7 linked regions of the Xenopus tropicalis genome follow. The protein of the gene in region 4 interacts with the protein of the main gene of each other region in a pairwise test. Links are inferred from orthologs where the notes say so. Each region holds a gene or a part of one and is shown on either strand. Other genes may lie near its edges. The genes, in order: rnf111, dtx3, mipol1, ube2k, marchf3, rnf125 and traip.

Region 1 (4,273 bases), on a different chromosome or scaffold from region 4:
GAATAAGGATGGTTAACAGAGTAACACACTAGAATTTAGATACAAAGGATCATAAATGAGGAATTCAGGAGTTGGGAAACTGCTGGTGTCTACAATTCAAAAATACTGTAACAGATATATGCGATTGCTGCCTCTTTCATATAAAAGTAATACGAGTTGAAACAAAGACGTTTAAACCTATGACTAAGTGCCCCATGTAGGCACAAAACTCCCCAGCACTGTTAAAAGGTGTTGAAACTTTTTATGAAATTATTAAGCAGCAATATTTGATTGTGGTCCAGTTTGGTGCCAGTCTATCTTTGTAAAATTTAAACTGGATATCTCCTTAAAGCAGTTCAGTGTAAAAATTAAACTGGGTAAAATAGATAGACTGCGCAAAATAAAAAATGTTTTAAATAAAGTTAGTTAGCCAAAAAATGTAATCTATAAGGGCTGGAGCAGGCAGATGTCCAACATAATGGCCAGATCACTACTTCCTCCTTTACAGCTTTCTAAGCTGTTAGCAGTCAGTAACTTAAGGGGGCGGGGGATGTGGGACATGACTGTTCAGTTAGTTTGCATTTTAATCCGACCTGCATACTCACAAATTAACTGAACAGTTATGTCCCAAGTGCCAAACCCCCCCCCCCCCCCCCTTTCCCTAAAGTCACTGACTAACCAAGAGGTTAGAGAGCTGACATCTGTCCACTCCAGCCTTTATAGATTACATTTTTTGCCTAACTATATTGCAAATATTTTTTATTTTGTGCAGTTTATCCATTTAACCCAGTTGAATTTTTACACTGAACTGTTCCTTTAAGCTGAAGGTCTGGGACAGGGGCACTTTAAGCTATTTAAATGACCACATTCCTCTATTTGTATGAATTATAGAACATTATTCACCTACATGTCAAAGCTTTTGTATAACTGCTTTTTGTCCAATATTTAGACATAGTTGAGGGCCTGGAGAAAAGATCTTAAATGTCACATGTTGCATAGCAATATAAATACTAATATTCTTTTTATAGATTACTAGTAAAGGCAAGACTATTAATTTCCAAACAGATGTATTTCTCTCTGCCTAAAATGAGCCGATGACTGCAAGGTAAGTAAACACTAGGCCAACACATAAGGGCCCATTTATGAAAGCACAAATTTTTATTTTCAGAATTTTTTTTTTTTCTAATTTATAGAACTTTTCATAATGACCACGATAATATCATTAAAACTGCAATACTTTTTCGTTAACTTCCATGAAAAAGTCATATTTTTCGCAAAGACTACGACCATTGCGGAATTCATTCAAGCTTTGGTATAGTGACTATCTTTTGGCCAGGTTGGATCTGTAGAGTGCCATTGAGTCCTATGGAAGGCTTCCAAAATCATGCATTGAAGTTTCAAAGCCAGAAAGGTTTTCGCGCCATTTACGATTGTTTGGATCCAAAAATGTTGTGACTTTCGGATCGCAACCACGATATTTTCTTACGACCGGGAAAAGAAACTGACATTTTCAAACATCAGAAATTATTGTGGTTACTCCACATTTTTTCCAATCGTGCTTTTCACCACCCAAAATTCGTGCTTTAATGAATGGGCCCCTTAGTTTTTCCATGGGCTGGTACATTTTCCACCGAAAAGGAGCAATGGCCTGCATAAAAACTTAGTGATTTAATCAACTCGGGGGGTTCCTAACATTTTGGTACACCTCAGCAAAACAGGCTTTCCTTGTCCTTTAATAAGAACTCGAAACTAACCAGGATATGCAAATGCAAGTATTTCTTTTCAAATATCTGAGAGCTTACTTACAAATACAGTTACTAAACAGCACAAGTGTAGCTGCCAGTAACAACCAAACAGCTTAGAACAGGAACCTATAAGTTACAAAATGAAAGTAATGATACGATTTGTTTTGATATGTAACTGCACTGCCAACTCAACATTTATCATTTTAAATGCCCCTTGATGAATATCCAAAACAAGATCCAAACAAGAAGCACAGGAACAGGAAGTAGCTTAAGTGCAAGAAATTATCCAAAGAACACATTCCCTTTAAGGACAATGACAGATGTGGCATTTTGTCCCCAATGGTTTGCAGCGATGGCAAAATGCCTACAAATTACCTCCGTTTGTGGATAATGAGAATCATTGCAGATATAAAAGTTAAATCACTTAACTGCACAACTAAATTCCTTATCGGTTATTGCCCTTAAAGTTGAAAATGTAATTGTGAGATTGTGTCTCTTCTAACTGGGAACCTATTCCAGATCAATAGCACTCTTCATGTATGATGGTTATTCCCTTAATACGAGCTGCTCATGGAGAGAAATTGTGTTTACATTTTAATCAGGTACAAATACATTTCACCATACAGAACCAAAACAAATGGCCATGAATACAAATACTGTACATAAGTGGCAAGAAGCCTGCGAACACATTCATTAAGATAATAATACTAGTGTCAAGCCTATATTAACCATCCATATATATATAGATATAATACAATCCTGATTATATATAAATAACCAAGGCTTCCAGGAAATGAATGTAAAAGATGCGATGTTGAGCAGTTATCATACCTCCCTCAATACGAAGCGTCTAGCTCGCTAGGCCCGCCCGAGAAGCCCGACTGCAGTAGCGAGCCCGCCCCGCAGCACATACCTGCTTCAGCCTGGACATGAGCACGTTAGTCACTCCGGACTCGTCGAGGTTCCTAATCTTTAGCTCACTTTGGATCAGTCGTAATGGCCAAGGAAGCCATGTTAGGTAGCTACCTTTGGACACTAAGATGCCGCCGAGTCACGTGACGTCGAATGCTTGCGCCGCAAAACCCGGATGGTACAGTCACGTGGGCTGCTAGCGCCTCCCTCCTCAGCGACTCGCTTGTTGTTTACGTGGTGTGGTAGCGCTGATGTGCGCAGGATATTTACCACTAGGAGATGGTGTCAGCTCTCGCTGATATATTTCTAAGAGTATATATATATTTTTCCCAAATGCAACTCTAATTTACTTTTAGGCGTTCCCCTAAAAGTCAGACTTTTAGTTTATGAACCCTTGCATTACATCTTTTAAGCTTGTAAGCCATAGTAAGCTTTACCTCAGGTATGACACTTGTACTGTTGGACCAATAGAACATATCTAGTCCTGGCACTTAAAGGACAACTAAAGCTTAACTTAAGTAGTGCAGAAATGTTGTAAATTATATTTTAAGCTTATGCACCAGCCCAAGACAACTGCAGCCAATTAGTAGGGAATATCAATGCCCCATCTTTTCTGCTGACTCAGGTCACATGCTCTGTGCTTCTGTCACTTCAGGGACCCACCCACAGCATACGGTATATATAAGATATAAATGTAACAGTATAAGGTTGATGAGTAAATAATACAGATTAGTGCAAGGATGTTCTGAAGCCGGTGTAATCTGCATGAGAACAGTAGCATCACCCTCAATGACAGGCAAACATCATTTTCTGCTTGAGAATTTGTGAAGACCCTCTAAGCCAGGGGTGTCAAACTCAATTGCACAGGGGGCCAAAATCCAAAACACACTTTAGGTGACGGGCCGAACAGGATAAACATTTAATGAACACACTAAGGCATACCTCCCAACATTTGAAAAATGAAAAGAGGGACAAAAAGATTTGGCGCGCGCAGCGCGGCAAATTTTTTTGACCACGCCCCCTTTTGTGGTCACGCCCCAATTACCACACCCCATTTTTAAAAAAATACCCCTTTTATATAGATCAAATGGCGGGAGCAGACGCAAATGTGCTATACCCTCATACTGAACGACCTAAGGAAAACAATACAGCAACTCCTACATTAAAATACAAATATAGAGAGAAGGCAGTCAGTTATAAGTGAGTTATAACTAAGTACCAGTTTTTCCCCCCCATACACAGTAGCCCGCCCCATACACAGTAGCCCGCCCCATACACAGTAGCCCCCCCATACACAGTAGCCCGCCCCATACACAGTAGCCCGCCCCATACACAGTAGCCCCCCCATACACAGTAGCCCCCCCATACACAGCAGCCCCCCCATACACAGCAGCCCGCCCATACACAGTAGCCCCCCCATACACAGTAACCCCCATACACAGTAGCCCCATATACACAGCAGCCCCCCCATACAAAGCAGCCCCCCCATACACAGTAGCCCGCCCATACACAGTAACCCCCATACACAGTAGCCCCCCATACACAATAGCCCCCCATACACAGTAGCCCACCCCATACACAGCAGCCCGCCCCATACACAGTAGCCCCCCATACACAGTGCCCCTATACACAGTAGC
Region 2 (2,432 bases), on a different chromosome or scaffold from region 4:
AAAAAAAATGTTTGTTTTTTTTTTTTTTTTTTTTTGCAACAATTTTTTAAAAAATTTGGATCAGTTGCTAACATGACAGGCAGAGGGAATTAGTGATGGATCCAAAGGGTTCTTACAGCTGTGGTCCTCCTGTGCAGTTAGTTTTGTGGTGAATATCATTCCACGTTATGACATTGGGCCTCCCTGTAGTCATTGAAGTCCCAATGGTAAAGGTCAGACGTTGGTCAAAGGCTTTCTTAAATAGCGTTAGAACTTTGTTTCCCTCAGGGCAATCAGGCAAGTAAGCCACACGTGTTGTTCCCGGATACCTTACTCCAGGGTTGGGGTGCTCTGACTGCAGAAAAGAAATGATATATTGGTAAATTCATTCTATGCTGCTCACAGTCCGTCAGACAGAAAAGGGGATCTAATTTTTATATGGAATTATAGATTCCATCATGTGTTAGCATTATTCATTAACAGGACATAAAAAGAACCTATATTACCATATCTCCCGAACAATGTAGGTCTCTATAAAATATATTGCATAAGACAGCTCATATGTAAAACCCTGCTTCATCTAAATAAATCATTTTCATAAAAATATACTTTTTATCAGTATGTCCTATTGGGTAACCCTAAATAGAAAATTGCACCTTTAAGAATTAAGGGCCGCCTCCTGGGATCAAGCCAAGAGCACACATACATGTTTAGTTACATTAGCCAATTAATGGACAAAGATCTACTGGCCAGGGCCTCTCCCACCACTAGGCAAGGTGTTTTTTTTTTTTTGGTTCTGTGCTAGCTTTCTCTATACATTTACAGATAAAATTAACAATAGGGAGGCACAAAATGCTTATTGTGTGTGTGTGTATTTTTTTTTAAGGTACAGGTATGGGATCCGAATTATGGTAAGCCTGTCTCCCATAGACTCCATTTTAATAATTCAGATTTTTAAAATTGATTTCTTTTTTCTATTTAAAAATAAAACAGTGCTTTGTATTTGATCCCAACAATAATTAATCCTTACTGGATGCAAAAAATTCTATTGGGCTTATTTAATGTTTTATTGATTTTTAGTAGACTTAAGGTATGAAGATCCAAATTATGGAAAGAACCCTTATCCGGAATACCCTTGGTCCTGAGCATTCTGGATAATAGGTCCTATACCTGTACTTACTATCAACTTTGTATGTCAAAGTAATCCCCGGTCTGGCCAGTCCCACTTTTTCATCTGATTAATTAAGAATTCTACTACTTTATTATACATTCTGCTTCTGATGTACCCTGCATTGCTAAAAACTTAGACAATGAGTGAGGCGCAGCTCTCTGCGGTCCATTTCAGGAGCACAATAAGGCGAACCACAAGGAAGCGTGCGGTTAAAACATAGCTCTTTGTATAATTTTTTTGCACCTTGCCCCCTCCATTGTCAATGAGCTCTAAAATATGTTTGAACACATGATCAGTAGGTTGCCCACCCAAGTTTGAATTGCCCTGGTCTTTGGCCTCTGGCTGGCTCGTGTAACTCTATGGTTATTCATTGGCATGCAATATTCCATCTTAACTTAATGATTTGCCCTAGAAATCTAAGATGACAACTTACAAAGAAGGCACCAATTCTTAAAAGTGAAATTTTGGAAGCGCCTGAAAGAGAAATGATTACAAACAGCTCCAACAGAGTTATGGTCCCTTAAATGGTGCAATGAACAAACAGACATTTGGTGTGAGTTACTATTCCCAACTAATGAGAATGTTGCAACAAACTGTAAACATCCAGCCAGTAATTCTAGGCAGTGCCTTCATGAATGATTTTATTATGTGAAATTGGAACCAACACAAATTTCTCCTGAATGGTGATACCTACAGCTTGCGCAATTATGCCCATAAACATACGCTAAAGAGAGCACATATGTGTCAGTGTTCATGAGAATGACTGGAAAAGTTTTTTTTAACATCAGCATTCCAGCTAAAAGCAATTTCATGCTTGTGACTTTGTTTTCTGAAGATCTTGTCATTGATATAAATCTTTCTGGTACTGCCTGTGGTTGGGGGAATTCCCAGCTGTAAAGTAAATCAGGCCTAATACATTTTCCAGAACGTATGCTTTGTAAGTGAAGGGCAAGTAGGTAACAAATCTAAAAGAAACCTTCATTTTAAAAAAAAATCAGATGATTGTGGCTGGAATTCTGACACAAGCCTGTATAATTTTTTCTTACGGAATTAAAATGAACATTTTCAGCTTTGCCTCCATTTCATTGTTGAGAAGATTTGATGAATCGTGAAACCTTTAAACAATTACCACACTTATTCAAATCAGAACAGGTGTAGGCTGATAAGCAAAATGACAGTGCCTTTAGATGTTCTAAAACATTTTGCCTTTGTATTCAGCACTGGCCGCTCTCCTTAAAGTAATTTAATGCCTTTTTTGCTGTATATCTACTGTGTGAGTGGA
Region 3 (4,249 bases), on a different chromosome or scaffold from region 4:
CATAAGAGACTATTGCTTTGTTTCTTACATAAATACACAAAGTTTTTATTATTCTCAGGCCAAAAATGTTAGTTTTTAAAGTGGGTTGTGCCCTTGTAGACTGTGACAATGGCTTAGATCAGTGCTGTCCAACACATTACAAATAGTGGGCCAGTTATATCTCATACAACATTTTGGAGGGCCAGATGAATTAAAATGAAGATGTCATACAGTGAAGTCTATGGAGCAGAGTAGGGACCATAAAAATTCCTTAAAGGGCCACATCTGTCCCACAGGCCTATAGGTGGACAGCCTTGGCTTAGATGACTTCCACCTTTCGGCACATCACAGGAGCTTATGCATTAATTAGTTATACTTGACCACATTTATATCTCCATGGGTTTATTACAATGGCAAACTTTTGGCTTGATAAATCACAAATCTGCCCCTAAATGTTTGCTCAGCCTGCCCAAAATGCACAACAGGAGATCTGTTCCACTGCTTATGAGATCAGCCACATATAAAAACCTTCTAGATATGTGTTAGAGGCTACTACTGCTCTTGTATAACTCGTACACTAAACGTACATTGATACCTTGCCATTAGATCTTAAAATACAAATCCACATTTGCTTTTAAACCATGGTATGAAAGTAGACCAGTGTTGCAAGATCCACCTATCCATCTGGCTATGCCTTAAGAAGGGGTATGTACCAAGGGGATCGAATTCAGGTTCTTTTTTAACCATCCTATTTTTTTCTTTGCTTCTCTGTATTCTTCCCTTTTTCTTCTCTAATTCCTTTTCTAATCTTGCATCCCCCTTTGCCTGCTCAAGTGTAGATTTCTAATGGTACATTATTAACTTGCAGTTTTTCCCATGGTGTAATGTACTAGATTTACACTGTTAGGTGTCTCTATTCGCTTATTGCATGGACTGTGTTTGTTCCTTATTGTACCTGAAATAAAAAGAAATTTAAAAAAGAAGAAAAAAAGGTTTCAGAACTAGATTTCCCCCCAACCCTTTACTATCAACTGCACACAGGGGATGACTATCTGCCAGATCCATAGAAGGGTGGGCCTGTGTAGTTCAAAGTTAGTTAAAGCATCTGTTATGCAATTGTTTCCTTTTGGGTACATTCATTTTAAAGTGTTTGTATCCCTGGCAGCAAATGAGCACTCACCGGTGTGCAAACAGTTATTGGTGCATTGGTGCAAGTGGTATACTAGAAGTTACTGCTTGATCATTTTACGACCCCTTTCCTAAACTTTCAATGTAAAACATTTTTCACCAGTCGAACAGTCTTCTTACTCTATAATTACACCCCTGGTCAGCACCCACGTGCTGGGCCAAATCAGATCTCAGTCTGCAGTTGGCCACAAAAAATTATCCCATTTTTACTGTTATCTACAGCAGTCAGAATAGGGAATAGTCTCCTCACTGATTGTCATCTAATTTAATTTAGGATCTGGGAATGTTGATACCTGCTTAAACCAATCATATAAAAGTGGTGACAAAAGTGATGTGATTAAAAAGATATAGCAGATGGCACACTTGAACATAAAGTATGTGAGATATGCCTATGGATGCCTTTTCCCTGGTTTGCCTGATCTGATGGTCATTATTACTTCATAAAACATATTCAATATACAGTGCATGTCTTTAGATAAAAATCATGAGGGAAACACTGACACCTATTGGTGGCCTACAGAAATACAGTTTGTAGGTAAATAATATGATTGAATTTGAATTGTATAAATGTAATTCAATGAAACATGTTTAGAACAGGGGAAAAGTCACGCTATAACTAATGATATAGACTTATATTATCATTTCATGTGGATGTGAATGTGGTGTTGCAAGCTGCATGGTATGTATGTATGTATATCTTTATTTATAAAGTGCTACTTATGTACGCAGCGCTGTACAGTAGAATACATTAATACAAACAGGGGGTTAATAAGATAATAGATAAATACAAAGTATAAAAATAAATACAAATAAATACAAGATACAGTTACAGTTGCAATAAGTTAAGAGTCGAGGACACAAGAGGATGGAGGTCCCTGCCCCGTAGAGCTTACAATCTATATATGCATGGTGCAGGTAAGCAGCTCAGACAGTAGAAGTATCAGCAGCACATCTCAGTGGATTTGCAGCCACTTCCAGCACACACTGAGCGGCATTTTAACTTTAGCTGCAAACCAGTTTTGAAGAACAAGTGAACAGATACCAAGGTTATGTATTAGAAGCTTTAGGTTTGCAACAGGTCTAGTCACCTACAGCAACCATGCAGCAGGTAACATTTAATGGTCACCTGTTTAAAAGCAAACATATGATTGGCTGCTATAGGTTCCTGCACCAGGGCAAACTTTGTGCCTTTTAAGGGGAGCAGTATCCTCCACCCAGGACTGGCTTCTGTTAGCTCACCTCACCGCACGGTTATCCATTCCCTATAAAAACAAATAAAAACCCTTTCCCACTGCCCATACATTTACCGTTCCCCGCAGTGCTCAGGTCTCCGCAAATATATGCTTAGACAAAAAAGCAGCACTCACCTAAATGATGCACCAATCCACTCTTCCAAACCGGAAAACAAGAAGCAGGAAGTCGAAGCAAAACCAGAGTGGAACGCAAGAAACCTTTCTGTGTGATAGAATGCTGCCTACGGATCAAAGAGGCAACTTGCACTTTAGCGAAATAAAATAAGAGATAAGCACAAATCGACTGCGGAGTAACACATCAGATACATGTAAATCACAAACGTGATATACTTTGGTCTTTACGTCTTCCGCTTTTCTCAATAAAGTTTTTTTTTTAATTCCACTAAGTTGTCGTTTCCGCATTTGCTCACTAGATGGCGCTTTGATAGCAGAGAGGCTTTTCTTTGCGTTCAAGCGTGGTTTCCCTCTAATTTCCTGCTTGTTCCTGCTTCCCTCTAATTTCCTACTTGTATTCCGGTGTGGCTGCATGGGCACAGGGTGGGCGGGGGATGCTTGTGCCTAGCTCCCACTGGGTTTAAAGACGGCGTACCTGTGAGTGCTATTTACTCTATTTCTGTATGTAGCTCAGTAACAATCAGAGAGAAACAGCTTATGGGTAATAATATATGTATTTCTCATTAACTCTATATATCTCCAGTATGACTAATCTAATAACGAAAGCTGATAGCCACCCCATAATTAGCTGAGCCACATTGATATTTATATACGTTTTAATTAATAGACATGTTTTGTGATATTATCATGGCATCTTCATGCAGGCCAGGGTGCTGCCCATCAGGGGATGATGGGAGTTATAATGAAGCTGGAAAGCCACACAGGAGTACTGTTTTATTAGCACGTCTTGTTGAGAATAATTCAAGATAACACAAGCCATTATAATTAGGAGCATAACTTCAATCTCCTGGGGCCCTGCAGAAAAATGTTTGGGGTGCCCCCCTCCCCCATTGCTATGACACTATCCTTTCTGCACCCATGAACTAATGGATTTGACAGCATGGTTGGATGGTGCCAGGGGATGTAGATCTTTTCTGGGACCCTTGGTTGCAGAGTTTGCTGGTAACTTACTAGTCACTGCTTATAAGCCGCTAGCTACCCAGACACACAAAGCAAATGTTGGGACCCATAGGGTTAAATGGTCCCCATGGCTTTAAATCCCTACAGGTTTAGTTCCCTTAGTTGCTGGGCAGAAGGGAATGTATCTAAGTGAGTTCATTAATATGTGTGCTATTGGTTAGAAGGTATAGTGACCACATCCTGCGTGACTTTGGTATAGTGTTGGGAGAGGAGTGGCACCTTCCTGTTGTTTGCTTCCACCTTAGGGACAAGGTGGATGTGTGCTGAGAGCCCAGGGCATGGGCCCAGGCCCAGTAATGTCGGGGGAACAGGACCTCGTGAATGAGGCATTAGATAGTGGCAGGTGTAGCTCCCTTTATAGTACACTCTAGGAGTGTAAGGCAGTTAGGGTTGAGCTAGAATGAGCAGCATTGAGCTCCTGCATAGGATTTGCAGTTTTTCTGGAGATATTTCTCCCAGGCCACATTGCCTGTAGTGTAGGGATCCAAGTGAATAGGGAATCAGGATAGAGAATTCCCTGAGGGATCCACTACAGGGTGTGTCGCAGAGGTGAAGGGAGATTCCTGCCAGTCTGCCCGCAGGAGAGTGTGAGTCTGAATATACACTCGGTATGTGTTGCATGTACCAATGGCCTCTGAAGCTGTATTGTGAGTAAACCCTGTGGATGTTCAATAAACACTTATTACTTTGTTATT
Region 4 (3,971 bases):
AAAATTACTTTAGAGTGTTATTCCCCTTTTAATAATTTACCAAATTCCAATAAATACACCAACAATAAAGAAAATGAAAATAAAATAAGGGGATATATTTTTCTACTAAGAAGTCAAGACAGCTTTTGTGGCTGCTTGTAGCCATAGCTGGACTTATCTATTTGCACAACTTGAGCAGACCCTCGTCAAAAAAAAAAGCAATGTGTATTACTAAATATCACTTAGTATCACTGAGATATTATGTGCATTCTAATCCAACTAGCTGCACCAGGTTCAGCCTAATAAAAGGTTCAGAATTTAAGGTGTCCATACATAGGGCAAATACTGGCTGCGATTCTTGATTGAGTCAGCAGGCTACTGACCCATCTGGCAGATCAAATACATTAGCCCTATGTCCAGGGCTAGGAGCTTCTGCTGCTCATGGAGAAAGTAAAATTGCAGAAATGACCACTAAAAACCTCTGGTGAACACTGCAGCTTAAGCTAAGTGAAGACAAACGGGGTGTAGTGCTGCATGTTATGATACTTTCTAAAAATCTTTTGTGGCCCTTGCTTAACCTAAAATAAATGGAGGACAAAGAAGAAATAAGCAATTACTTTATAACATTAGAAAATGTGTATTTCTTAATATGGTGAGCGATATTACTAATCCTAATTTGTAACTGCAACAATTTTTAGATGCAGCTTCTCAATGAATGGGCAGCACGCTGTCTCAAATGAAAGTTTCTCCATAAAGTGGCAGGAGGATATGCGGCAATGCCAGCCTTTGATCTAGCGCACACGAGAAAGTTACAGTTAACAAATTTGCACTCCACTGTTTCACAGAGTTACCCAGTGATTATGACCAGAAGCCACATATTTACCAAAGATTGAATCTAGAAGTCATCATAGTCTGCAAGAGTGAAATTCTGCTACTCTTTATACATTAATATGAAACTTTAGAGGGTATATTTATCAATACATATAAATGAGTTTACACTTTGATAAATATGTTTTCACTAATTGAATAGAAATTAATATAATGAGGGAAATTTCACTGTGGCTGACTATGGCAAGCTGTAGTTTAATACTTTGATAAATATCCCCCTTTGATTTCATTTCTGAAGTTTCACTGAATGGATTTCAAGGGCCATTAATAAGGAGAGAAAAAGTTGGAAGGGAGAGCCAGAGGGAACTGCAGTCTTTTCTACACAACTGTCCTACTTTTCCATGTCTCTAATACAATCCTTTAGTACCTTCTACATGACTCTAAACACTTCTGCAGCCCCACTCTATGGCAGTCTCTAATAAACTCCTGTCAAATCGTTCCAAGGCAGTCCCTAATACACTCCCATAAAAAAAACTCCATGGCAGCCCGTGATACACTCATGTCAAACCTATCCCTATCAATCTCTAACATACTTTTGTAGTAGTGATGAGCGGGTTGACCCACAACCTGCATTTTACCCTTAGGTCAGGCAGGTTAGGGTTGGGGGGTGTTGTGGGTTCAGGTTGGGTGTGGGTCAGACTAGGGAAGCACCTCTGCTCCTGAACTTTCCCTTCCTTGGAACCTAAGGCGAGAGCAGCAAACAATGTAGAAAGACGCAAGTACGTGTTTTAAATGCAAATCCTATATCGGCAACAATTTGTGGGATACGGTCAGTTGCAGGTTGACTTTTTCCTGACCCCCACACCACTATCTTGTAGTCTCTTCTGCAGTCCCTTTCCATGGCAGTCTCTACACAATCCTGTAGTCTCTTGATGGCAGTTTCCAATTCACTCCTATAGTACCTTTCCACGGCAGTCTCTAATACACTTCTGTAATTCTCCTCCAAAGCAGTCTCTAATACACTTCTGCAGTCCCTCTCCAAGGCAGTCCCTAATACACTTCTGCAGTCCGTCTCCAAGGCAGTCCCTAATACACTTCTGCAGTCCGTCTCCAAGGCAGTCCCTAATACACTTCTGCAGTCCCTCTCCAAGGCAGTCCCTAATACACTTCTGCAGTCCCTCTCCAAGGCAGTCCCTAATACACTTCTGCAGTCCCTCTCCAAGGCAGTCCCTAATACACTTCTGCAGTCCCTCTCCAAGGCAGTCCCTAATACACTTCTGCAGTCCGTCTCCAAGGCAGTCTCTAATACACTTCTGCAGTCCCTCTCCAAGGCAGTCCCTAATACACTTCTGCAGTCCGTCTCCAAGGCAGTCTCTAATACACTTCTGCAGTCCCTCTCCAAGGCAGTCTCTAATACACTTCTGCAGTCCCTCTCCAAGGCAGTCCCTAATACACTTCTGCAGTCCGTCTCCAAGGCAGTCTCTAATACACTTCTGCAGTCCCTCTCCAAGGCAGTCTCTAATACACTTCTGCAGTCCCTCTCCAAGGCAGTCTCTAATACACTTCTGCAGTCCCTCTCCAAGGCAGTCTCTAATACACTTCTGCAGTCCCTCTCCAAGGCAGTCTCTAATACAGTCAAGTAGTCCCTCTCCCTATCAGTCTCTAATACACTCCAATAGTCCCTCCCCATGGCATGCCTGGCTGTGGCAGCCTTCTATACTACCTCTTTAGAGCAGTTTACTGGATTTATCTTAAGCACACTGTCACCAATTGTTGCCCCTCATTGTATATAGCCAGACGCACTTCTGTCTCCTCTCACCTCTTCGCTTTTGAGCACCTCCTTGAACTCCCTTTTGATCCTCTGTGCTGCGATGTTCGCCATAATTGCCCCAGTTTCCGTACTTGACTGAGTCACCTTAAATTGCTGCAGTGCACGTTAAGTACGCCAGGCTTCCTCCCTCCGTGCAGTGCCGGCCCTGTGTGCTCTGCCTCCCCCGCCCCGCACAACGAAACCTAGCACAACAGTACACTGCAAAATGGCGAACCTGACACATGCGCAATACAAGAGTCTGGGCGGCCCACAGGAAGAACTTCCTGACAGGGTCCCTGCTCACGTCACTTTGGCCCGCCCCACAAATGAGACGTAACAGCGCGCCACAGAATCCCCGGGCTCCATTCATGCAGGGCTCAGTCACGTGATGTGTCACTGGACCCCAGCGCTAAACAGAAGAGTCGTGCAGTGTTGTAAAGTTTGGCTTTAGCAGCAGATTTCTATGAAACCAAAGGTCGTAGCCTGCCAGAGCTATGCAATTCTTATTAGAGGATGGGCTGACTACCTGCCCCTAGTAAGCATTTGTCTCAGCAAAATAGATATGCCACAACATGCATTAGTCACCTGACTCGTATTGGAAATCCAGAAGTTCCTGCTTAGTCTGCTGTATGGGAACTTTTTGTTCTCTTCCTTTTCAAAAGTCCTATGACTGGTCATGACCTACATCTGTTATCTAGAAAAAAAATAAAGCAGGGGCATAACTACAAAGGAGGCAGACCATGTGGTTGCAGGGGGGCCCTGGAGTGTAGAGGGCCCAGTAAGGGCCATGACACATAGGGAGATTAGTTGCACCACAACAAATGCCATCCCGTGGCATACACGGCACTGCGATATGCCGAAGTCACCGACATTTCCTCTCAAGGCGACTTTGGCAAATGGCGGCGCTGCGTATGCCATCCTACCGCTGATTTACATTGTAGCCGGTGGGATGGCATTGCGGGGAGATTAGTCGCCCGCAACAACAGAGATTTGTCATGGCAGCTCTAATCTCCCTGTATGTCACGGCCCTGAATAGTGAGCAGTTTTACTATATCTTGATAGGATAGGTCAATTTACCAACGATTTGGGCCCCTAAATTGAATTCTTTTGGGACAAGTGACATCTATTCATGCCACTGGTTGTGTGCATTTTCCTAAGCAGAGATGCTATCTGGATAATATAGCAAAGGCCAGCCAGTTAAATGATACATGCCACTACAGTTATTAAAGGACAAGGAAAGGCTAATACCTTGGGTGGTGCCAGTTACTTAAAATAAATGCACCACCAGAGATACCTTGTGCCTCGATTTGAATTCTATATCTGTATATCCATAGTTCAGTTAATTTTCTGGCTT
Region 5 (3,500 bases), about 130 Mb from region 4:
CTGGGGCATCTTTGCAGGCACAACTCTTCCCTGATAAAGGGCTGCGGTTGCTTTTGGCTGGTTCAAAACCACAACTATAATTGGGGTAAGGTATTTTCTGTAGCATTTCTAGCCCACTTCATTTTTAAAATTTAGTTATCCTTTAAGCAGTGAGTGAGGATGGCATCACGCATTTTCCTGTAGGGTTCAAATGAACTGTAGAATGATACTTCTGTCTCAATACAAAAGACTCTACTTTTTGCTTTCTCTAGCACAAAGTGAGTGGGTGCATTTTTTGGATGATACTTTGGGAAATCCCAGGTCACTGTAACAGCAAGTCATGCGTAGCCCTTCCCTAATGTGAGCAGTTCAACATTTTCCATGGAAATAAAACCGCATGGCATTCTTCTACAGCATTTTGATTTCCTCAGTGATCCATCAGAAAGCATGCTACAGGCACGCCCAGCAGATTATTATAATGGTGTTCTTTTATTTTGCATCTGTACAGCACTTTCAGCACTTTAAGCCGAAAATCAGCATATCAATAAGATTATCATTATCACTGAAAAGTGGTATTAGAGGATGAGCAGCTGCTGTGGTATCTGAAGTTTTTTTTAAAAGAAAGCAGTAATTTATAGGAAATGATGTGTATTTCATATATTTACTAGCAGGTAAATGGTGTGCCTAATAAGAATATTCTAATATATCAAAATAAAGAGAATTCATTAGTAAATGGACATTCCCGCTGCTGGGCATTTACTGACCTCTACTAAGGGCCGAGGTTTGCGCTCCACAGAAAACCTGAAGTGACAGAGTTCACAGTAGCTGGTGTTAGAGGAGGAAAGCCAGTGCTCCAGGCAGCTTCGGTGTATTGTTCCTAACGTTCCAGTGCATTCACATGGAGAAAGGAGATCCTCTTGGGTACTTCCTTCATGGCAAATCCTGCACATTGGGCGGTCATTGAAGCTGCTGTGAAAGAAGCAAATTTGTTATTGAAAATGATCCTTCTGAGGTAGTTCTACAATGATAGCTGTGGAGAGAGAAATTATGGCTGAAAATTAGATTTGTGATTTGCTCTGCAGATGAAAATATAGAAATGGCAGCAAGAAAAGCGCTGTTCTATTTCTGGCTTGGCATTTCCAAATAATTCACTTGCTATTCCAGGTGATCCCCTGAGCACACAAACTAGATGCAAGCGTGACTTGGACCCCTAATAGCAGCAACTTTGTTCCCAGTGGGCCTAACATTGCCCGACACTAACAAAATACTGTATAGGGTCACAGAACCCATCAATAAGAATGCTTTTTTTACTTTATTGTATTTGTAAAATTACAATCACAGTATTCTTTTTAATTTTAAAAAATACAAATACATTAAAGCATCTTTAGAATATGCTGTAGGCCAATCTAATCCAAATAATCCAAAACCCTTTTCTAAGTCAGAAAATAATTTTTAATTTCTCTTTTTCTCTCTCTTGTGCCTTTTAAAGGAAGGCCCTGCATCTCACACCAATATATTGAAGTAAATAAATGTATAAAGTACATCTTATTAAGCTTGGGGCAGTCAGCCAAATCACTAGTCATTTTGGATAGACACTTGACAGTCGGCCAGGTAGGTGGTGCATAAGTCCATTCTGCCAGTGATCCTTGTTCTTATGTTGCCCCCAGATTTGAGCTAGGACAAGACACCTGGATAAGCTTCAGTAAGCATAAAAGAATGGGGAACATAACAGCAAGCACATTTCTGAAGCCCACAAATGCAGACAGCAAACTAACTACAACACAATGTCGCAAGAAAAAAATGCAAAAAAGTCTTCTACATATACATGACAAGACAAGCTTCCAATAGGAGTTCTCAGTGCTTTCAGTACACATACCTCACAAAGTGTTCCTGAGATGCCACAACAAGAGGCTCCAGTGTCTATTACCAAGCTGCAGCAGTATAGAAGGCTCATTTAAACACAGGGCATGGTTCAATAACAGGATGAGAACTGTGTCCTTAAAAGTAGAATTTAGGAAGGTACTTTCCCCTATATGCACAATGTATACATGGCAAAAGGTGCAGCATGTTCTGGCTTACTTTGTACCTGCCTCGAGCAGACACTCAGTGCAGAGTACTGGGCTCCCTATACGCATTGTGCTCCACATGGGCAAAGTCCATTATTGACTCCACACACACTCTGGAAATTAGATATACATGTATGCGATCTGTTATCCAGAGGGCTCCGAATTACAGGTCATCTCATCTCCCATAGACCCTTTTTTAACCAAACAGTTCAAAATTTTAAAACTATTTTCCTTTTTCTATGTAACAATAAAACAGTACCTTGTACTTGATCCCAACTAAGATATAATTAATCTTTATTGGAGCTAAATAATCCTATTGGGTTTATCTAAAGTTTATCTTATTCTTTAGTAGACAAAGTATGAAGATCAAAATTATGGAAAGACCCATTATCTGGAAAACCCCACGTCCCGAGCATTCTGGATTACAGATCCATACATGGTATTAGGTTGGGTCATGTTTCCTGCAAATAAACTATTTTCTTAATGCAGACACCCAAGCTATCTACAGATAATGCAGAAGAAGTGATTAGACATAGGTGAATTTTCATTGTACTACTGGCTCTTTCATGCTATGGGCCCTTTATACAGCACTGTCTTTTGTGAGATATGGAATTTATAGTTAGTTAGTTAATTAGTTAAAATAGTTTTAAACTACACCAGCGAGATTGATGCTTCTTCTAAAATCCTATGCCAACAGTTTAAAAGAAGATATTCTGTTGTCTGAGAGAACATGCAGGCCTTTATGCTCCAGCTCTGAATGCATGTCAAAAAGCATTACAGGCTTTAGCAGCATCTATGTATGCGGCAGGCTGGGAGATTTTAAGCTTAATAAAAAGAAAAGATCTAGGCTGTCTCATTTTTAAAATGGCATTTCTTTATATAGCCATGGAAATATGATTAGGTGCAGTGCATTGCTAACTGAGAGATTAGTAAGGCTCTTTAAATATGAACAAAGCTACAGTTTGCATTAGGTTTCTGTATGCAATAAGATGATGTACCATTTTGTACTGTGCCTAATGCTGTCAGATCAGTCAGTGCTCTGTTCCTATTCTATTACAGCACACATCTACTAGATGCTAAGCAGGAATGTTGGGTAGCTCCGTGTATTTATGGGAGTAAGCACTGAGGCATGTCTGGAACTGATCATCTAAGTTCTCAGGGAAAAGGTGGATAAGCCTGGCATTTATTTAGGAACTTGTGTGCCTTGGCTTGTGGCTGTAGGGATCTACATTTATCCTGCAGGAATAAAGCAGCCATAGGGCAGCTCAAAAGCACAGACATATGGAATCCCCTAAAGAGAATATGATGAGTGATTGGAAAAGACTATTCATTTTAATCCAAACATAAAAATATAGCATGGAGACTATTCATTTTAATCCAAACATAAAAATATAGCATAGCAGTTAGTGCTATGATGATAACCAGCATTAATAAATGCATGCTGGGAAAAATAGT
Region 6 (3,500 bases), on a different chromosome or scaffold from region 4:
CTGCCCTATTGCCACCAAACGATCAGATTATTTATTTTTTTAACATCAAGCTCCCTGATATCGCCCACCCGTAGGTGGGGATATTGAGGGAAGATCCGCTCGCTTGGCGATCTCGCCAAACGAGCGGATCTTACCGTGTATGGGGACCTTAAGATGGCAAGCTCCTGGCTGTAAGTAAAAAGGCAAGGTGGCATGTTACTTTTGACCTGGGCTGGAAAACTTGAGATTCAGTTTACTGTTTCAATGTGTGGCTCCAGGATCAGAATGGGCCAGTGGAACATTAGGAGAAAACCTGGTAGGCCTCAGCCCTTATGGGCCCGTCAGACCTAGGCCCGCTCCCTGCCATGATCTCTACAGGCTCCCCCAAAGGTTTTTCAGCAGCTGCAAGTTGTCAGGATAAGGAGGAAGTACAAGGTACATGGTGCATTGGGTTGGGTGGACATTGCTGGGGTGCAGTGTTTCGTGAAAGGGTAGGGGCTGTGGGTCCTTGAAGTTGGGGCCCTAAACACCCTAGTCCAACATCCATAACATCATATCTAAATAACACTATTGTACATGTTGCATATGTTCTTTTGCTTTTTCTGTTATAAAGTATGATACACTAAACTTCATGTTAACATTAAACATTCCACTTATAGTTCAATATAAAAGGATATCTGCTTGTCTTAAAGCCATTGCCAGTTTTATATTGCAATAAACCAATTAATTGTGCTCTTACTATGTAATTTTCATAGTATATGGAGTGTCTTGCATGAAGATGCCTCAAAAAGCTCATTGTATAACTTGAGTCTCCTCCAGGCATCAGGCGACAAATTGGGCACACCTAAAATTTTACAAAAGTAAATTTATTATAACAGATTGCAACAAATCTTACCTTTCAATGCACAAAATACAGTGGCATGTTCACAAAAATGTAATTAAAAAAAATATTTAAGCTCTTTATAAAAGAGGTCTACATGACTCAATGGTCAAGTAATAGTCAACAAAAAGACATTATTTTACTCAAGCCCCTGTTGTGGGGGAAAGTTAAAAAGAATATGAAGGTACTTACCACCAGTCTGCTTTCTGTGCTGTGGTAGGTAAAGCAGTGTTGCACAAGGCCATCTTCGTCAAATTCCAGGTGGCAAAATGGGCATGCAAACATTTCATCTCTAAAAACAGAAGTGAACAGGGTCTCAGTTATGTAAAGCATGAAACAGTGTCACGGGTTTAATTCCTTTAATTGCACCTGTGTTTCTAGCATCTTTCTATAAAGCATATATTCAATTTAAGCTCTAAATTAACAAATTGTTCTCTGTTTGCCTGCACATGCCGTACCTATGCTATCATGTTAACATATTGTTTACTAGGACCTTAGTCCCAAAGGTCGTTAGGTAGTAATTGGGGATTAATGTATATAAACTATCAACCTGCAATCACTGACAAGGATTCCTTAAGTGAGAATTGAGGGCTAATTCCCAGTGGCAGGTGTGTGTGCATAGGAATGCACCTGTATTTGCACAACTGATCAGATTAAGAACACTGATCCATCCATTGTTTTTTTTCAACAGCCACTTTTTGGTTCACTGCTAACAGCACTCTGTGACATAAATGATTGGCTATGGGTAGCAAATGGGCTGTTGCTGAGTCTGCTGAATGGTATTATTGGGAAGTAAAAATATCAAACCTGCACGTAGTTCTTCCAAGTTCCTCCAGGGGACCATATTTTGTTATGTATTGCTCACACATGTTTAAATGAGCCCTCATATCACTCAGGCACACCTAAAACATAAAAAAATAACAAAACTGAAAATACAAAAAAACATAAACATAAAATATACCAATGATGTGATTTCTAGGTAAAATACTGCATTGGGTGTAAATAACTGCATCCATTAGAGCACTTAGCACACAGCACTTGCTTCTCATATACAAGATATTTTTTGTACCTTCTCCTCACATTCTTCACAATTCTGAAACACAGTCTTCATCTTCTTCATTATATCCACAGCCAGGGTTCCTTCAGATGATAGGTGAGTGCGGCAGTAAGGGCAGGCGTATGTATTATTCCGGAGACTAGCTTTAATGCAAGTTTGGCAAAACCTTAATGAAGAGAATAAAATCAATGAATAATACAATCCGTTTGGGACATGTAGTTCTTAAGCAGCTTGTCAGGGTCAATAACATTTTCTATTCTGCAGCACAAAACTGCTTAATTACTGTTAAAAAAAATGTAGTTTAAAAATACAAAGGAAATAAGATGGTAATTTTTAGTAAGCACATACAGACCAATGGGGTCCGTTATGCAGAAGGAATGTCTTTTAACCATGATTACTTATTCTGCTTAATTGTGGGCACCTTAAAATTGTGTGACACAACTTACACATGTTGTTTGTCAAGCTCAGGTTGCTTTGTTGCTTCGTGGGGCGAATAGGATTTCCAGCACACAAACGCATACAGTGCCGAAAATGGCATTAACATACAATTCTTTAGGTATAAAGCACTTGTGTTCGTAGGTGCAATACATGAAGGGAGACCTGCAAATAACATCTACTCCATGCAGTTTTTAAAGAGCTAATTCATCTTTCGTCTGTTATAGAATGGCCTATTCTTAGCAACTATTCAATTGGTATTCATTTTATAGCTTTTGAACCATTTAGCTGCTTCTTCTGCCTCTTTCTAGCTTTCAAATGAGGGTCACTGACCCCAGCAGCCAAAAAACTTTTGCTCTCTGTGGCAATAATTTTACTGTAACTTTTTATTACTTTTCTTTCCTTTTTTCACCCTCTTCTATTTATCTTTCAGTCCCTCATTCAAACCATTGACTGGTTAGTAGCCAAAATCCACTCCAGGTGCAGACACAGAAGAATGCTGATTCAAGCGTAGTGTGGCATAAGCTGAAGAGTAAATGTATTTGGCTGCACAGATTACAATTTAAATCAAAAGCAATCTGTGATGCCCTGCAAGATGTGTTTATTAGAAGTGCCCCTGAATTTTCAAGTGATTTGTCAATCTTTTTTAAAAGTGAACTAACCCTTTAATTCCAGGGCACACCTGATGTGTACTTTCGTATACTTGTGCTATGCACCTTACTTAGCAAAGCAGAACCAGCTTCTGCTGTGATATGAATCATAAGCACTCATGCAAGTTCCTTTGTGAATAGCATTCACATGGGCAAAGTTCAGGGGCATATTTAGCTCACCACAGAAAAATTCACCTGCTTTCTATTCACTCCTATGGGATTTTTAAAACCGTATTTATCAATGGGTGAAAGCTAGAGTTCACAATTTGATTAAATAAACTTCTTCAAATCCCATAGGAATGAAAAGTGGGTAAACTTTTCTGTGGTGAGCTCCAATCTCGTATATTGATAAATCTGCCCCTTAGTTTTAACTGTTAGTAAATTATCTTGTCCAGTGTATTTCATGTCAAACATTCTAACCTTTAGGTTTAATTACTACTTTAAAAATGTTAAACTATTTATTGTTTGCTTACCCAGGACATTTGCTTTGATGCCTGAA
Region 7 (3,945 bases), on a different chromosome or scaffold from region 4:
ATATGTATGCACTACATGTTAATTTTGGGGTCACTACATATGCCACACACATTGGTAACCATATTTAGGACATTTTATCTTTGCATGTAAGGATATGTAAAGCACTGAAGCTGAACAGAAATTCATATTAACCAATTCTGCACTTGTCAGAATGTGTACTTAAAAATATATATATTATATATATATATATTAGTTCTCTGGAGTGAACTTAGTTTTTTTGCAAAATGTTTCTGAAACATAAAATGCAGTAAATGCCAAATCCCTATGTTTTCATTTTGGGACCTTTACATGCCACATACTTAGATGATCCTATGCATACTGGGCATCACACTGCTCAGAAGATACCTGGCATTCATAATTATGTTTTATCTTGGGAGATAGGATGCTTTAATTTGCAAGCTTTGGTAGGATTTTCAGCCATTCAACCTAGAAAATCTTCCCTACAGTCAGAGTAGATGAGATGTCTCTGGACTGCTAGTGATTTATATTTTTAATATTGTGCAATTCAGATCAATAAACTGTAAACTTTTTGGCGAGGTACCCTCACCATCTACTGCTTATGTTTATGTTTTGTTATTGGGCTCCAGCCCCCTTTGTTGGTTAGTTCCCGAACAGCTTCAGACAATTCACTACCCTGCTATGGCTCTTAAAATATCCAAGAATACAAATTAGAATTCCCATAAATACCCAAATACAGTGTGTTCCCTAAGAGTGTGACATTTTGCAATAAAATCAAGATAAAAGTTTTTTTTAAATTTACCTGGATTCGACACTGTGGACAGGTACGATGTGGAGCCGAGTGAAACCACTGGAGCAAGCTAAGTAATGCAAAAGAGATTTGTTAGGCCAAAACAATGTCAGGGGGCATTAACTATAATTTTATTGACTGACTTCTAGCTTGTAACAGATTCCAGTCTACTGGAATATACCTTGTCCCCCCCTCCTTAAAACACCACTGCCCCCAACCTCCACTTCTGCATTTGCTGTACCTTTTTTGAGGTAGAGTAGTGCTCTGGTGTTGGCAGACATCATCTCATGCTGCTCCTCTTTTATATGAATGCTGAAACCAAGAATGTGCAATTGAAGCCAGGTCTGCATTAGCTTCAACTGCACATGCTCCTGTCAGAAGATAACTAAAAGGAGGACCTGAAGAGATCCTGGCAACCCCATTGCGCAACTCAGATTTTTTAAGAACAAAGTATAGCAAACATGTAAGCTTAAAAGGGGTCCCCAGTGGTGCCATGAGGGGAACAGTGTGTTATACAGGCTTAAGTTCTACATTAAAGAGTAGGAACAGCTGGGCTCAGATATGATTACAAGCTAGAAGTCAGTTAATAAATGTGACACATCTTGCAGAAAGGGCCAAGTTGCTGCAATTTAATCTGAAGGGGTCACTACTATTCTTTAGTGGTAACAAATGGTTGCTGTGTTTTGGAACTAGCTGGTATCCCATGCTCAGCAAAGCAGTACCAGAGTACAGTGTAGTGTAGGCATCTGTTCCTGTGCCCATAAAGCATTTCCTAAAGAGGTTTAGTGCCAGTGCTTAGGGTCTTCCTGACAAAGCTTTCTGAACTAACAGAAACATCAGACTGCCCCTGCGTTTGCCTTTGAAAAGACCTCTGATTAGAATCTAAGAATGCAGCAAATGCATAGTATCATAAGATATGTCATTAATGGAAAAGTTTGTCGTTAAATTAGCTTTTAGTATTTATTAACATTTATTTAAAAAGCACCAACACATTCCACAGCGCTGTTGAATAAGTGGGTTTCATACATTGGACATACATTTTTGTTCAGTGGCTTTCCAGTTTGTAATTTCTGCTGCTTGTCTGGTTGCTAGGCTTCCATTTATATTCATAACCAGGCAGGGGTGTGAATGAGAGACACATATTAATAGGAGAAGGCCTGAACAAAAAGATAAGTATTAAAAAGTACAAAATAACCCTGCAACTTCAAAGAACAATAGTTTTTGGCTGCTGGGTCAGTGGCCCCATTTGAAAGCTGGAAGAGACATACTAATGTTAATGTCAGCCTAAAGCTGGCCATACACGCACCGATACTATTGTACGAAACCTCGTTTCGTACGATATTCGGTGCGTGTATGGCAAGTCGGCGAGTCGACCCATATCGCAGGAAGCTGCTGATATCGGACGACTCGCCGATCGGCCAGGTTAAAAGATTTTGATCGGTCGCCATAGAAGGCACCTGACCAAAATCTGCCGTCAGGGCTGAATCGGCAGAAGGAGGTAGAAGTCCTATTGTTTCTATCTCCTTATCTGCTGTTTCAGCCCTGACGGTGTGTGGCGGATCTGACAATGTTTTCGTGTGAAACATCGTCAGATCGCCACGTGTGTGGCCACCCTAATACATGCAAAACAGCAATAAGAGGTGACAAACAGCTATGGAGTGGGCAAAGGCTGCACAGCTGTTAGATGCAAGAGATGAGCCAGTCTGCTCCCCATTCCATGTGGGTTGTTGTTATGTCAAGGACACAGCAGCTGACAGCTATAGCAAAACTTATCTCCTTATATTGCTCTGACAATGCAGCCCCCTCCCCCCTTAATCCAGCCTATGCTGGGGGATATATACAGCTCTATGACATGTATAATGCCAGACTTTCCCGCTGTTTCCATGGCAATGCCGTGCTGTTACGCAACAGAACGAATCTCTCACCACTCCTGATGGAACGTGTGCCCACACGTAACCGCGGCCACATCCCGCGAATTATCAAAGAAATCCGAGCAAATTGTACAGTAGGCACGTATGGGCATGGCTGCCTCCGCCTTGGACTCAGTCACAACAACATTCCCCCAACCGAGGACACCGTGACGGAACAACAGCCACAACAACGTTTGTTTTTGCCGCTGCAAGAGCAACGTCACGTACGCTACCTGCGTCTCCTCTCATTGGTCAAGGGCTAAACCCGCGGAAATGACGTACATTTAACCCCGTCACTGCGCTCTCTGGAAATACGGGTTACTTACTACAATTGCTTTTACGCAAAACTTCTATTATGTTATTACGTGATGGCGTATATGCCTTTTATATGTTCTTAGGGCGTTATAGTTGAAGCTGGCGCTGTGTATATTAAGCCATGTGTTCTGGGATGTGTTCATTTGACACTGTATTTATATATATTTATATCATGCAGTGTGAAAAGTGGAGTAAAACATCACTGGTAATGTTGTTTATAGCAGCCAATTAGATGCTTCGCTTTGATTTTTTGGTTGAAATCTAATAGTTGATTGGTTGCCCTGGGCAATATCACCCATAATGCTTCACTCCACTTTTTACACAGCATGATAAATATACCCCATTGTGTCTTTTTATTAGAAACTGGCGGTATAGTTTGGTGAAATTAAAAGAATTGAACAAAATCTGTGTTCAATACTTAAGCTGTTTAATAGCATCCCTGTAATATGCAGCTGTTGCGTTCTTCATCGCTGAGGCGATACTGAGAGACACTCGTTCTTAATGATCAATACAGTCTCTTATTGAAACCTAGCGGTACCAGATATTGCCGCCTGGCTGGTAAAAAAAATTGGGCGGATTCTGTTCTCTAGCTAGCCTTAGTTACGTCAACTATAGCCTTGAAGACAGACCCACCTATTTGGCAAAGACCTTGTTTTCAGATATTTCTATGCGTGTACACTGGTAACGCCTATGCTCATACATTTCTTATGACATATGTTACTGTCACAAAGTCTATATAAACCCTGTGCTGTCTTTTTTATGTAGTACTGACTAACTTTTGCTCAGAGCCCGTGTACGTGTCTAATAAACCTTACCTATTTACCTCTAAAGACATTTGGGGGCACATTTACTTACTCACAAACGGGCCGAATGCATCCGATTGCGTTTTTTTCGTAATGATCGGTATTTGGCGATTTTTCGGAAAATTATCGCGACTTTTTCGTTGCCATTCCGAATGTTGCGCAAAATCTG

Evidence for each region.
Region 1: the proteins of ube2k (region 4) and rnf111 interact in binary tests that used the Homo sapiens proteins (3 or more experiments, as listed by UniProt). The link is inferred for Xenopus tropicalis from reciprocal best matches to the Homo sapiens genes UBE2K and RNF111.
Region 2: the proteins of ube2k (region 4) and dtx3 interact in binary tests that used the Homo sapiens proteins (3 or more experiments, as listed by UniProt). The link is inferred for Xenopus tropicalis from reciprocal best matches to the Homo sapiens genes UBE2K and DTX3.
Region 3: the proteins of ube2k (region 4) and mipol1 interact in binary tests that used the Homo sapiens proteins (3 or more experiments, as listed by UniProt). The two-hybrid records come from large-scale screens. The link is inferred for Xenopus tropicalis from reciprocal best matches to the Homo sapiens genes UBE2K and MIPOL1.
Region 5: the proteins of ube2k (region 4) and marchf3 interact in binary tests that used the Homo sapiens proteins (3 or more experiments, as listed by UniProt). The link is inferred for Xenopus tropicalis from reciprocal best matches to the Homo sapiens genes UBE2K and MARCHF3.
Region 6: the proteins of ube2k (region 4) and rnf125 interact in a two-hybrid assay, tested with the Homo sapiens proteins (2 studies listed by BioGRID and IntAct). The link is inferred for Xenopus tropicalis from reciprocal best matches to the Homo sapiens genes UBE2K and RNF125.
Region 7: the proteins of ube2k (region 4) and traip interact in binary tests that used the Homo sapiens proteins (3 or more experiments, as listed by UniProt). The link is inferred for Xenopus tropicalis from reciprocal best matches to the Homo sapiens genes UBE2K and TRAIP.

Annotation. Positions count from the first base shown.
Region 1 is NC_030679.2:99,170,622-99,174,894, reverse strand, and holds the start of rnf111 (E3 ubiquitin-protein ligase arkadia), read right to left. Parts: upstream 2,801-4,273; 5' UTR 2,638-2,800; exon of another isoform or gene 2,556-2,637; intron 1-2,555. UniProt on the Homo sapiens protein: E3 ubiquitin-protein ligase. Required for mesoderm patterning during embryonic development. Acts as an enhancer of the transcriptional responses of the SMAD2/SMAD3 effectors, which are activated downstream of BMP.
Region 2 is NC_030678.2:140,823,432-140,825,863, reverse strand, and holds part of dtx3 (probable E3 ubiquitin-protein ligase DTX3), read right to left. Parts: intron 335-2,432; coding exon 117-334; intron 1-116. UniProt on the Homo sapiens protein: Regulator of Notch signaling, a signaling pathway involved in cell-cell communications that regulates a broad spectrum of cell-fate determinations.
Region 3 is NC_030684.2:108,842,435-108,846,683, reverse strand, and holds the start of mipol1 (mirror-image polydactyly gene 1 protein), read right to left. Parts: upstream 2,801-4,249; 5' UTR 2,535-2,800; exon of another isoform or gene 2,475-2,534; intron 1-2,474.
Region 4 is NC_030677.2:36,220,906-36,224,876, reverse strand, and holds the start of ube2k (ubiquitin-conjugating enzyme E2 K), read right to left. Parts: upstream 2,801-3,971; 5' UTR 2,690-2,800; coding exon 2,627-2,689; intron 1-2,626. UniProt on the Homo sapiens protein: Accepts ubiquitin from the E1 complex and catalyzes its covalent attachment to other proteins. In vitro, in the presence or in the absence of BRCA1-BARD1 E3 ubiquitin-protein ligase complex, catalyzes the synthesis of 'Lys-48'-linked polyubiquitin chains.
Region 5 is NC_030677.2:168,227,726-168,231,225, reverse strand, and holds part of marchf3 (E3 ubiquitin-protein ligase MARCH3), read right to left. Parts: intron 946-3,500; coding exon 744-945; intron 1-743. UniProt on the Homo sapiens protein: E3 ubiquitin-protein ligase which may be involved in endosomal trafficking. E3 ubiquitin ligases accept ubiquitin from an E2 ubiquitin-conjugating enzyme in the form of a thioester and then directly transfer the ubiquitin to targeted substrates.
Region 6 is NC_030682.2:111,864,566-111,868,065, reverse strand, and holds part of rnf125 (E3 ubiquitin-protein ligase RNF125), read right to left. Parts: intron 2,083-3,500; coding exon 1,929-2,082; intron 1,762-1,928; coding exon 1,667-1,761; intron 1,152-1,666; coding exon 1,052-1,151; intron 824-1,051; coding exon 719-823; intron 1-718. UniProt on the Homo sapiens protein: E3 ubiquitin-protein ligase that mediates ubiquitination and subsequent proteasomal degradation of target proteins, such as RIGI, MAVS/IPS1, IFIH1/MDA5, JAK1 and p53/TP53.
Region 7 is NC_030680.2:126,179,261-126,183,205, forward strand, and holds the start of traip (E3 ubiquitin-protein ligase TRAIP), read right to left. Parts: upstream 2,801-3,945; 5' UTR 2,772-2,800; coding exon 2,674-2,771; intron 819-2,673; coding exon 761-818; intron 1-760. UniProt on the Homo sapiens protein: E3 ubiquitin ligase required to protect genome stability in response to replication stress.